2 linked regions of the Cricetulus griseus genome follow. The protein of the gene in region 1 purifies or fractionates together with the protein of each later gene. This does not show direct contact. Links are inferred from orthologs where the notes say so. Each region holds a gene or a part of one and is shown in the gene's direction. Other genes may lie near its edges. The genes, in order: Epc1 and histone H2A.Z.

Region 1 (3,813 bases):
AATGATTGCTTATGGTTCCTCTGTCAGCTTTTAGTTTGGACGCTGAGCAGCCTGATTACGATCTGGATTCTGAAGATGAAGTGTTTGTGAATAAACTGAAGAAGAAAATGGACATCTGCCCATTGCAATTTGAGGAGATGATTGACCGTCTGGAAAAAGGCAGTGGTCAGCAGGTACAACTTCATTTCTGTATGTCTATTATAATAATGCCTATATTATGTGAAATCATGCAGTGTTGAGGAGGGATGAGCCAGCAGACTCCGGAACTGAAAGCATGAATTTACATCTCCTTGTGTTATCCTGTATCATTTTGAGCAGTATATTTGAGTTTTTTGTGCCTCCGTCACCCCAGCTGTATGTTGAGATAAAATAATAGACTGGAGGTGATGTGTTGATCACTTTTGATCCTACCACTTGGAAGGCAGAGACAGGTGGGTGGATCTCGGTGAGTTAAAGGTCAGCCAAGGCTACATGGTAAGACCCTGTCTCCAAAACAATAATAAACAAAAAAGTCTTCAACTGCCATTTGTGTATTTGGTGAGCAGGTAAAATATTACTAATATCAAGTCCTACCGTCAGGAAATACAGCAAACTGTATGCTCTGTGAAATTTGATCGTTGTAAAGATCGTTGAACGCACTAGGGCTGGAGATGGGGCTCAATTAGTACAATACCTGCCTAGCGTGCACATTGGGCTTGCTCCCCAGTCCCATGTAAACCAAGTGTGGTGATGTACACTCAGCACTTAGGAGGTGGTAGGAAGATCGGAAGTTCTAGGTCATCCTCACAAGTTCAAGACTAACCCTGTTTAAAACATTCTGTCAATACTATTGTTGGCTTGATTGTTGTTATTTAAATGAAGAATGGTTTTGAGTCCTTGTATATGTATTTTATGAAAGTGACATAATGGTTTTACATTTAGCCAGTCAGTCTGCAGGAAGCCAAACTACTACTAAAAGAAGATGATGAGTTAATTAGAGAAGTTTATGAATACTGGATTAAAAAGAGGAAAAACTGTCGAGGGCCATCACTTATCCCATCGGTAAAACAGGAAAAGCGAGACGGTTCTAGCACAAATGATCCTTACGTGGCTTTTAGAAGACGAACTGAAAAAATGCAAACTCGAAAAGTAAGTGAATTTTTACATTTTTAAGAAAAATTGTAGTTCTTAATTTTATGACTTAATCTGTGCTTTCATATAACAGTCCTTAAAATTATACTAGAGGGGTTGCCCAGTGGTTCAGAGCACTTATTTCTCTATCAGAGGACAGTGTTATGATTCTGGTACCCATATCAGACACCTGTGACTCCTGCTCCAAAGTATTCAGTGCCACTCCTTTCTGGCCACTGTATACACACACACACACACACACACACACACACACACACACACACACACACACACACAGAGAGAGAGAGGAGAGAGAGAGAGAGAGAGAGAGAGAGAGAGAGAGAGAGAGAGAGAGACCTTTTAATTACAATGGAAAATATTAAAATAAGTTGACCTTTAGTTTTTATGAGGGCCTTAATAGTACAAATTAATATATGTTCCCTTCCTGTGTCTTTAAACTGTAACCCTGCAAATGCATACATTCTTATCTGCACCTTGTTAGAATTGCTTCTTGAAGTTAAGCAAAACTTTATATTTTCAGAATCGCAAAAATGATGAAGCCTCATATGAAAAAATGCTTAAGCTGCGTCGGGATCTCAGCCGGGCTGTGACTATCCTGGAGATGATAAAGAGAAGGGAGAAGAGCAAACGGGAGCTACTGCACCTGACACTGGAAATTATGGAAAAGAGGTGACCCTTGTGCTTATATGCTAGGACTGCTGCCAGTCACAGCCTGTGTATTTCCTACTTATCTGTAATCACAGAAATAGTTTCTTTAGTAACAGACTGTGGTTGAACGTTGTGAAATGATATTCACAATTCTGTCTTATTTTCTCAAAGTGATTGGGCTCACTAAGAAATGTATCAGGTGTTTCTACTGAGAAATTCTTTTGTTCTTTTGAGTTCTTTCTGTGGCAGTTTGAGGCAGTGTGAAGGGGTTCATGTTGAATACTGGTTGTTTATTTGGGGTGTTTTGTAGGTTTGTGGGAGATTTTTAGTACTAGAGATGAAACCCAGGGCCTTGCACACTGTAGGCAAGCATGTTGCTAAGCACCAGATGTGCATAAATTTTAACACACTTGTTGAGGAAGAGAATGAAAGCTCCAGGTTCACACACACACACACACACACTTAAATTTCTTATGATTCTTTCAGGGAAAAAAATAGTTTTGTAGCACAGACAGCCCTAATTAGCGGAGGTCCCTTGACACTACTTGAGGCATCTCAGCCTTAGGATCTTGCCTCTCAGTCACTGTGTTCCAAGATAAGATTACAGGGCCCAGCACCAGATGATCCAGGTGTGGTGACTCACAACTGTAGGAAGTGGTAGAGACGAGAAGATCAAAAGTTCAAGGCAGAGACTTTAAAGGCTCCAAGGTTGAGCTCTGGCTGCTCTTCCAAAGGACCTGGGTTTGATTCCCAGCACCTTCATGACATCTCACTACCTTCTGTATGTAAGTTTAGTTCCCAAGGATCCAGCATCCTCTCTGGCCTCCCTGGGCAAGGTACACACATGGTACACAGACATGCATACAGGCAAACCACCCATCTGCATTCAGTGTCACACTGAGTACATAGCATGTTGGAAGCAGCCTAGGATACATGTCTCAGAAAAAAAGTAGCTCTTAAGTAGTTTATGCGCCCCGCCCCTCCACCAGCAATAGGCACATGAGGTGACTGGGGAGGTGGATGTTGAATTCTCAGTGTTTATGGAAGCATCTCATTGTATTCTACGTACAGCTTAAGTTTCCTCTCTCTCATTTCAGATATAATTTAGGTGACTACAGTGGAGAGATCATGTCTGAGGTCATGGCACAGAGACAGCCGGTGAAGCCTACGTACGCCATTCCCATCATCCCCATCACTAACAGCAGTCAGTTCAAACACCAGGAGGTCACGGATGGGAAGGAGTTCAAAGTTCATAAGGTGATTAGGGCTTGGTAACAGTAGCATCCAGTAAACAGGAGAAATAAGTAAATTCTACTGCAAGGTGGAAAGAAAACTAGCTTTTCCTGACAGTTTCATTCCTCCTTCTCTTACTGCCCCACAAGACCAGGAAAGGCCTTGTTCTGGGTCTGATAAAGGAGGGCTTTGCTAATAGGGGATATGAGATGCACTAAAATTTTAATGGGATTTTTTTCCCCTCGTTTTAATATTGAAGTCTGTGGTCCACCTGTCTGAAATGTGTGGCCTTACAGATCACTTCAGAAATCTTTGATTTTTATATTTCAGGATTTAACTCAGATTCTAATTACACAACATTGTTTTCTTTCTGTATGTTCCAGAAACATGAGCCATATATTTGGATCTGGTTTACCATTAAGACAGAGTAATTATGGCAGGGTGGTGGTGTCGCACATCTTTAATCCCAGCACTTGGGAGGCAGAGACAGGCAGATCTATTGAGTTTGATGCCAGCCTGGTCCACAGAGTGAGTTCCAGTACAGCCAGGCCTAAACAGAGAAACCCTGTCTCGGAAATGGGGGGTGGGGGGGAAGACAGAGTAATTAATGGAATATTCCTGTTATCTTGAGCATTTTTTAACTTTAATTTTCATTTAAATTTTTTTGTTGTTGGGCTGGAGAGATGGGTCAGCAATTAGAGCACACTGCTCTTACAGAGGACCTGGGTTTAGTTCCCAGCACCTATATCAGATGCTTTACAACTCTGTAGTTCCAATTCAGGTGACCTGATAATTATCTGG
Region 2 (4,585 bases), on another chromosome or scaffold:
ATCACTATAATTCTTTAGTTCCAATAAGCCATGGCATCAAAACTGCTGGGAGCCTCTCCTCTAGCCATTAATCTCCTGGCACCAGAGAGGGCCTCAAATTTCATAAAACATTTCAAACTGAAGCCCAAATATAGAGTTTATGCTTCAAAATTCTCTTCACATTACTATTCAATTACATAAAAAGTGTAATGTACCGTTGAGCTGGTGATGACTCCATGGGTAAAAGTGCTGTGTAAGCATGCTTGAGTTCCATCCCTGCAACCCATGTACAGGTGGAGAGAGGGAGAGCCCACTCCACAGGTTGTCATCTGATTTCCACAAAGTCTTCATGGCATGTGCACCTGCAACCACCCACACAATAATTTTTCTTATTTAAAGAGTTAAACATTAAGTACTGTAAATATGAAAGATTTAGATCATTATGGTCTCCAAGCAGCTAAGTGATGTACACAGGGATTGTCGACCTGCTAACTGCACGTCTAAGTGACTGGCATCAGGACAGGACCGTGTGTACGTACAGTCCTACTTTTTCTTTTTTAAGCCCGGCATTTGTAATTGATTACATGAACCATCTGTGGCTGCTTGTGAATCATGTTACAGTTACCCCACTGACATTTACCCAACATTTTTCATGTGGCAAAATGTTTAGTGTCGGAAAGCTGACACATAATAGCTTTGATGATTCAATAAATCAACTTTAGACACCAGGCTATAGGCGCATCCCCATTGATGTGGAGTCTCTCTCGGCAAAATTATGGCTGATGATTTCATTATAATAACGCTTCATCCTGAGCTTCCTGTGTGTAGACAAAATTATTTGTTATCACCAAGGTAACTTGACCCCCACGGTTGTTACGAGACAGGATGGGAGGGTGAGGGGGGCGGTCAAAAGAGGTGAGGACCGGAGCGGAGGAAGATGAAAAACAACCTCCGGCGGGGGTAAGAGACGGTCTCTCAGGGAAGTGCTTCAGCAAGTGCGGGCCGAGCCGAGCTCCTCTCACTGGAGGCCTTCGCGCCACCTGTCACAAAGGAGGGGCCCGCGGGGAACCGAGGTCTGCGGGGAGGGGGGGGGGACGGCCAGGCCGACCGGAGGACGCTGCGAGGCCCAGGCTGGACCGGGAGGCGAGCTCACGTGGTCTCCCGCACACCGCGGGAGGACGCCCGCGCGCCCGTCCCCAGCCTCTCAGCCCCGCCCTCCAGGCACGTGACCCCGCGTCCGCTCTCGCGCTCGCCCGCGCTCCCTCCTCGGTGGCGCAGGGCTCTGTGTCTGCCCTCCCGCCGCGGCGCCCTTCCCCTCCCGGTCCCGTCCCGCCGCCTCCCCCACTCTTCCCCCTCCCCACCCCTCGCGCGCCAATCACGGCTCGAGCTCGCGAGCGCCCGCCCCACCACCCTGCTTCGCGCCCTCCCATTGGCCGGAGCCTCAAGGACGCGTCCCGAAGGCGGGCGGCGACCATTGGTGGGCCGAGCCAGCCGAGTTCCCGGATGAGGGAACATTCTGCGGTATAAAGGGCGCGAGGAAGGCGGGAGACGGCGCAGTTTGAATCGCGGTACGACGGAGGAGTGGGCGCCGGGATCTCGCTGTGCGTCCGCCTGGCCTCGTCTCTTGCTCGCTTGTGCGATCTTCAGCACGGTCCGAGATGGTAACGTGAGAGTGACGGCGGGCCGCCGGGCGGGGGGCGGCGGCGGCCGCGAGCTGCGGGCTTGGAGCGGGCGGGGCCGCCGTCGCCGGGGCTTGGGCGAGGCGGCGGCGGCGGGCGGGAGCGTGCGGAGACGGGTCGGGGACGAGCGGAGGGAGGTGTTTGGTTGAGCTCGGAGCTCCGGGAGGGAGGCGACGGTTGGAGGGGGGCGCGCGCGGCGCAGCTGGGAGCCGGCGCGGGGCGCGCGCGGGGCGCGCGGCGGGGGTCGGCGGGCGGGCGGGGAGAGAGGGCGGGGGCGAGCGGCGGCCCGGAGACCCCGGCGGGCCGCGAGCGCGCGCCCGCCGCCCGCCCGCCCGCCTGCTCGCTCGCCCGCCTCCGGGACGCGCGGCCGTGGGGGAGGGGCGCGCCGCTCCGCGCCGCCTTGGTAATTCTATCCTCTCCGTCCCTCCCGGGCTCGCGGGCGTCGGCGGCGCCGCAGGCTGGCGGTAAGGCTGGAAAGGACTCCGGAAAGGCCAAGACAAAGGCGGTTTCCCGCTCGCAGAGAGCCGGCTTGCAGGTAGGCAGCTGCTGCCGCAGACGCAGCCCGGGTGACCCGGCCTTTATCTTTGCACCCCCTGGCTTGTTTGTCGGCGCCTCGCATGGGTGTTCCATCTTTTGCGTGGGTGATGTGTCGCGACTTGGCCTTCGGAGACTGAATGTTGGGGCGGCGGGGGCTGGTGGGGGGGGCGTCGATCGCGTGTGCTAACTGCCCGGGCGCCTTGGTGCACCACCGTCCTTGGCTTTGGCGCGCGCGCGCATCATCTTTCCATCTCTGAATCTCCTCTATCTTTGTGCATTTTTGTTTGTGTGCATAAAAAAAAATCAAGTTCCCTGTGGGCCGTATTCATCGACACCTGAAATCTAGGACAACCAGCCACGGCCGTGTGGGCGCGACCGCCGCTGTGTATAGCGCAGCCATCCTGGAGTACCTCACCGCAGAGGTAAGCGGGAGTGAGTATGCCTGTGATCTGGAAAAGGTTTGGGGGGCGGGGGGGGGAAAGTGGGCGAGAGGGAAGGAGGAAAGTGATGCAAGAAAACTCCCAGGCCCTAAGCGCGGCGCTTAGGCAGAGAGAGGGCGCTAGAGGGAGCTAGTGTTCAGCCAAGGATCCCGCTGAGCCAGAGTTTGCTGCTGTTGCAAAAGCAATTGCGTGCCCCTTCAGTCCTTTGCATCATTTGCATAGTTTTGTCATTCAGGTAGTGGGGGGATGACGACAGTTGGTGGGTTAAACACCACTGACGTTTAGCCAGCTTCCTGGATCTTGACTGAAGGGAATTGGAAAATTGATCAGAATTTTGCCTTTTAGGTACTAGAATTGGCAGGAAATGCATCAAAAGACTTAAAGGTAAAGCGTATTACCCCTCGTCACTTGCAACTTGCTATTCGCGGGGATGAAGAATTGGACTCTCTGATCAAGGCTACAATTGCTGGTGGTGGTATGTTATCACTGACACTCGGTTACTTTCCAATAAGAAAATTCCTACATTTTCATTGCTTCCAGAAGAGGGCATTTAAATATATTTTATAAATCATGGTGGTTTATGGAATTTGGTTTACACAACATCATTCATCATTTTACTTTATGTTTGAATTTTTTTTTAAGACCTTTCAAGTTGTAGATTTACCTGCTTTGATTTCATGTACTGTTTCAAAATGTTTCTACAAAAAGTAGAATTAATCCTTGTCACTTTCCTAGGTGTCATCCCACACATCCACAAATCTCTGATTGGAAAGAAAGGACAACAGAAGACTGTCTAAGGATGCCTGGATTCCTTATTATCTCAGGACTCTAAATATTCTTAACAGCTGTCCAGTGTCGGTGATTCCAGTGGACTGTATCTCTGTGAAAAACACAATTTTGCCTTTTTGTAATTCTATTTGAGCAAGTTGGAGGCTTAATTAGCCTTCCAGCCAACCAAATTTCTGCATTCGAGTCTTAACCATATTTAAGTGTTACTGTGGCTTCAAAGAAGCTATTGATTCTGAAGTAGTGGGTTTTGATTGAGTTGACTGTTTTTAAAAAACTGTTTGGATTTTAATTGTGATGCAGAAGTTATAGTAACAAACATTTGGTTTTGTACAGACATTATTTCCACTCTGGTGGATAAGCTCAATAAAGGTCATATCCCAAACTAGTTTTAAACTTGCTTGATGATTACTACTAGATCTCATTCAGCTCCCCTACCTTCTTTGCTTACTAATCAAACACTTCATCTGTAGACCAACAAGTCATAACCAATTTGTCATAATGAACTAGGCATGCTGTTGGACATTCACAGTAACTGTGAAAGGCACTGTATCACAATTTGGGACAGCTGGACCGGTAGAGACCCCCAGGTATAACATAATAACCTCCACAGAATGAACTTAAGATGTAGAAGTTAAATCATTCTCAGTGACCAGACACTGTTGTCAACTGTGAAATGCTAGTCACAGGGGATGCGTGCTATTTTCATAGACTAGGGTAACATGATGAAAACATTGATACATATCAGGCATGTTCCTTAAGAGCTTGAGAAAACGCATCTGCCCCTTTCACCCTACCGAGACAACATGCGTGCTCCTTTCTGAGGCAAAAATTGGTAACAGGAGGTGGTATGCATGCAACCTCTGCAGATGAGAGAACTGCTTCCTGCTCAAGAGTTACAGCTGACTAGCCAAAAGAGCTGTGTATATTGTACCTGCTGGGCAGCAGTGCCACTGAAAAGGGCAGGGCAGTGGGATGGGTGGGTGGTCCACAACTCTAAATCTGCAGGACCCATGCCGCAGTCTTTCCCCCTAACAGGCCTGAGGCCTCCGAAAACCTATGGGCCCAGAGGCGGGGCCTGGGGGGCCTTGGGTCTCGAACTGAAACCGCAGGTCCCCTGTCCCCGCCCCGATGGCGCGGGAGGCGGGCTCCCGGGCCGCGCCT

What was found.
Region 2: the proteins of Epc1 (region 1) and histone H2A.Z purify together in Homo sapiens (affinity purification with mass spectrometry; 4 studies listed by BioGRID and IntAct, with this or other methods). This does not show direct contact. The link is inferred for Cricetulus griseus from reciprocal best matches to the Homo sapiens genes EPC1 and H2AZ1.

Annotation. Positions count from the first base shown.
Region 1 is NC_048596.1:208,105,910-208,109,722, forward strand, and holds part of Epc1 (enhancer of polycomb homolog 1), read left to right. Parts: intron 1-27; coding exon 28-173; intron 174-921; coding exon 922-1,128; intron 1,129-1,651; coding exon 1,652-1,800; intron 1,801-2,876; coding exon 2,877-3,036; intron 3,037-3,813. UniProt on the Homo sapiens protein: Component of the NuA4 histone acetyltransferase (HAT) complex, a multiprotein complex involved in transcriptional activation of select genes principally by acetylation of nucleosomal histones H4 and H2A.
Region 2 is NW_023276806.1:21,775,065-21,779,649, reverse strand, and holds histone H2A.Z, read left to right. Parts: upstream 1-1,483; 5' UTR 1,484-1,637; coding exon 1,638-1,640; intron 1,641-2,115; coding exon 2,116-2,193; intron 2,194-2,503; coding exon 2,504-2,617; intron 2,618-2,980; coding exon 2,981-3,110; intron 3,111-3,370; coding exon 3,371-3,432; 3' UTR 3,433-3,810; downstream 3,811-4,585. UniProt on the Homo sapiens protein: Variant histone H2A which replaces conventional H2A in a subset of nucleosomes. Nucleosomes wrap and compact DNA into chromatin, limiting DNA accessibility to the cellular machineries which require DNA as a template.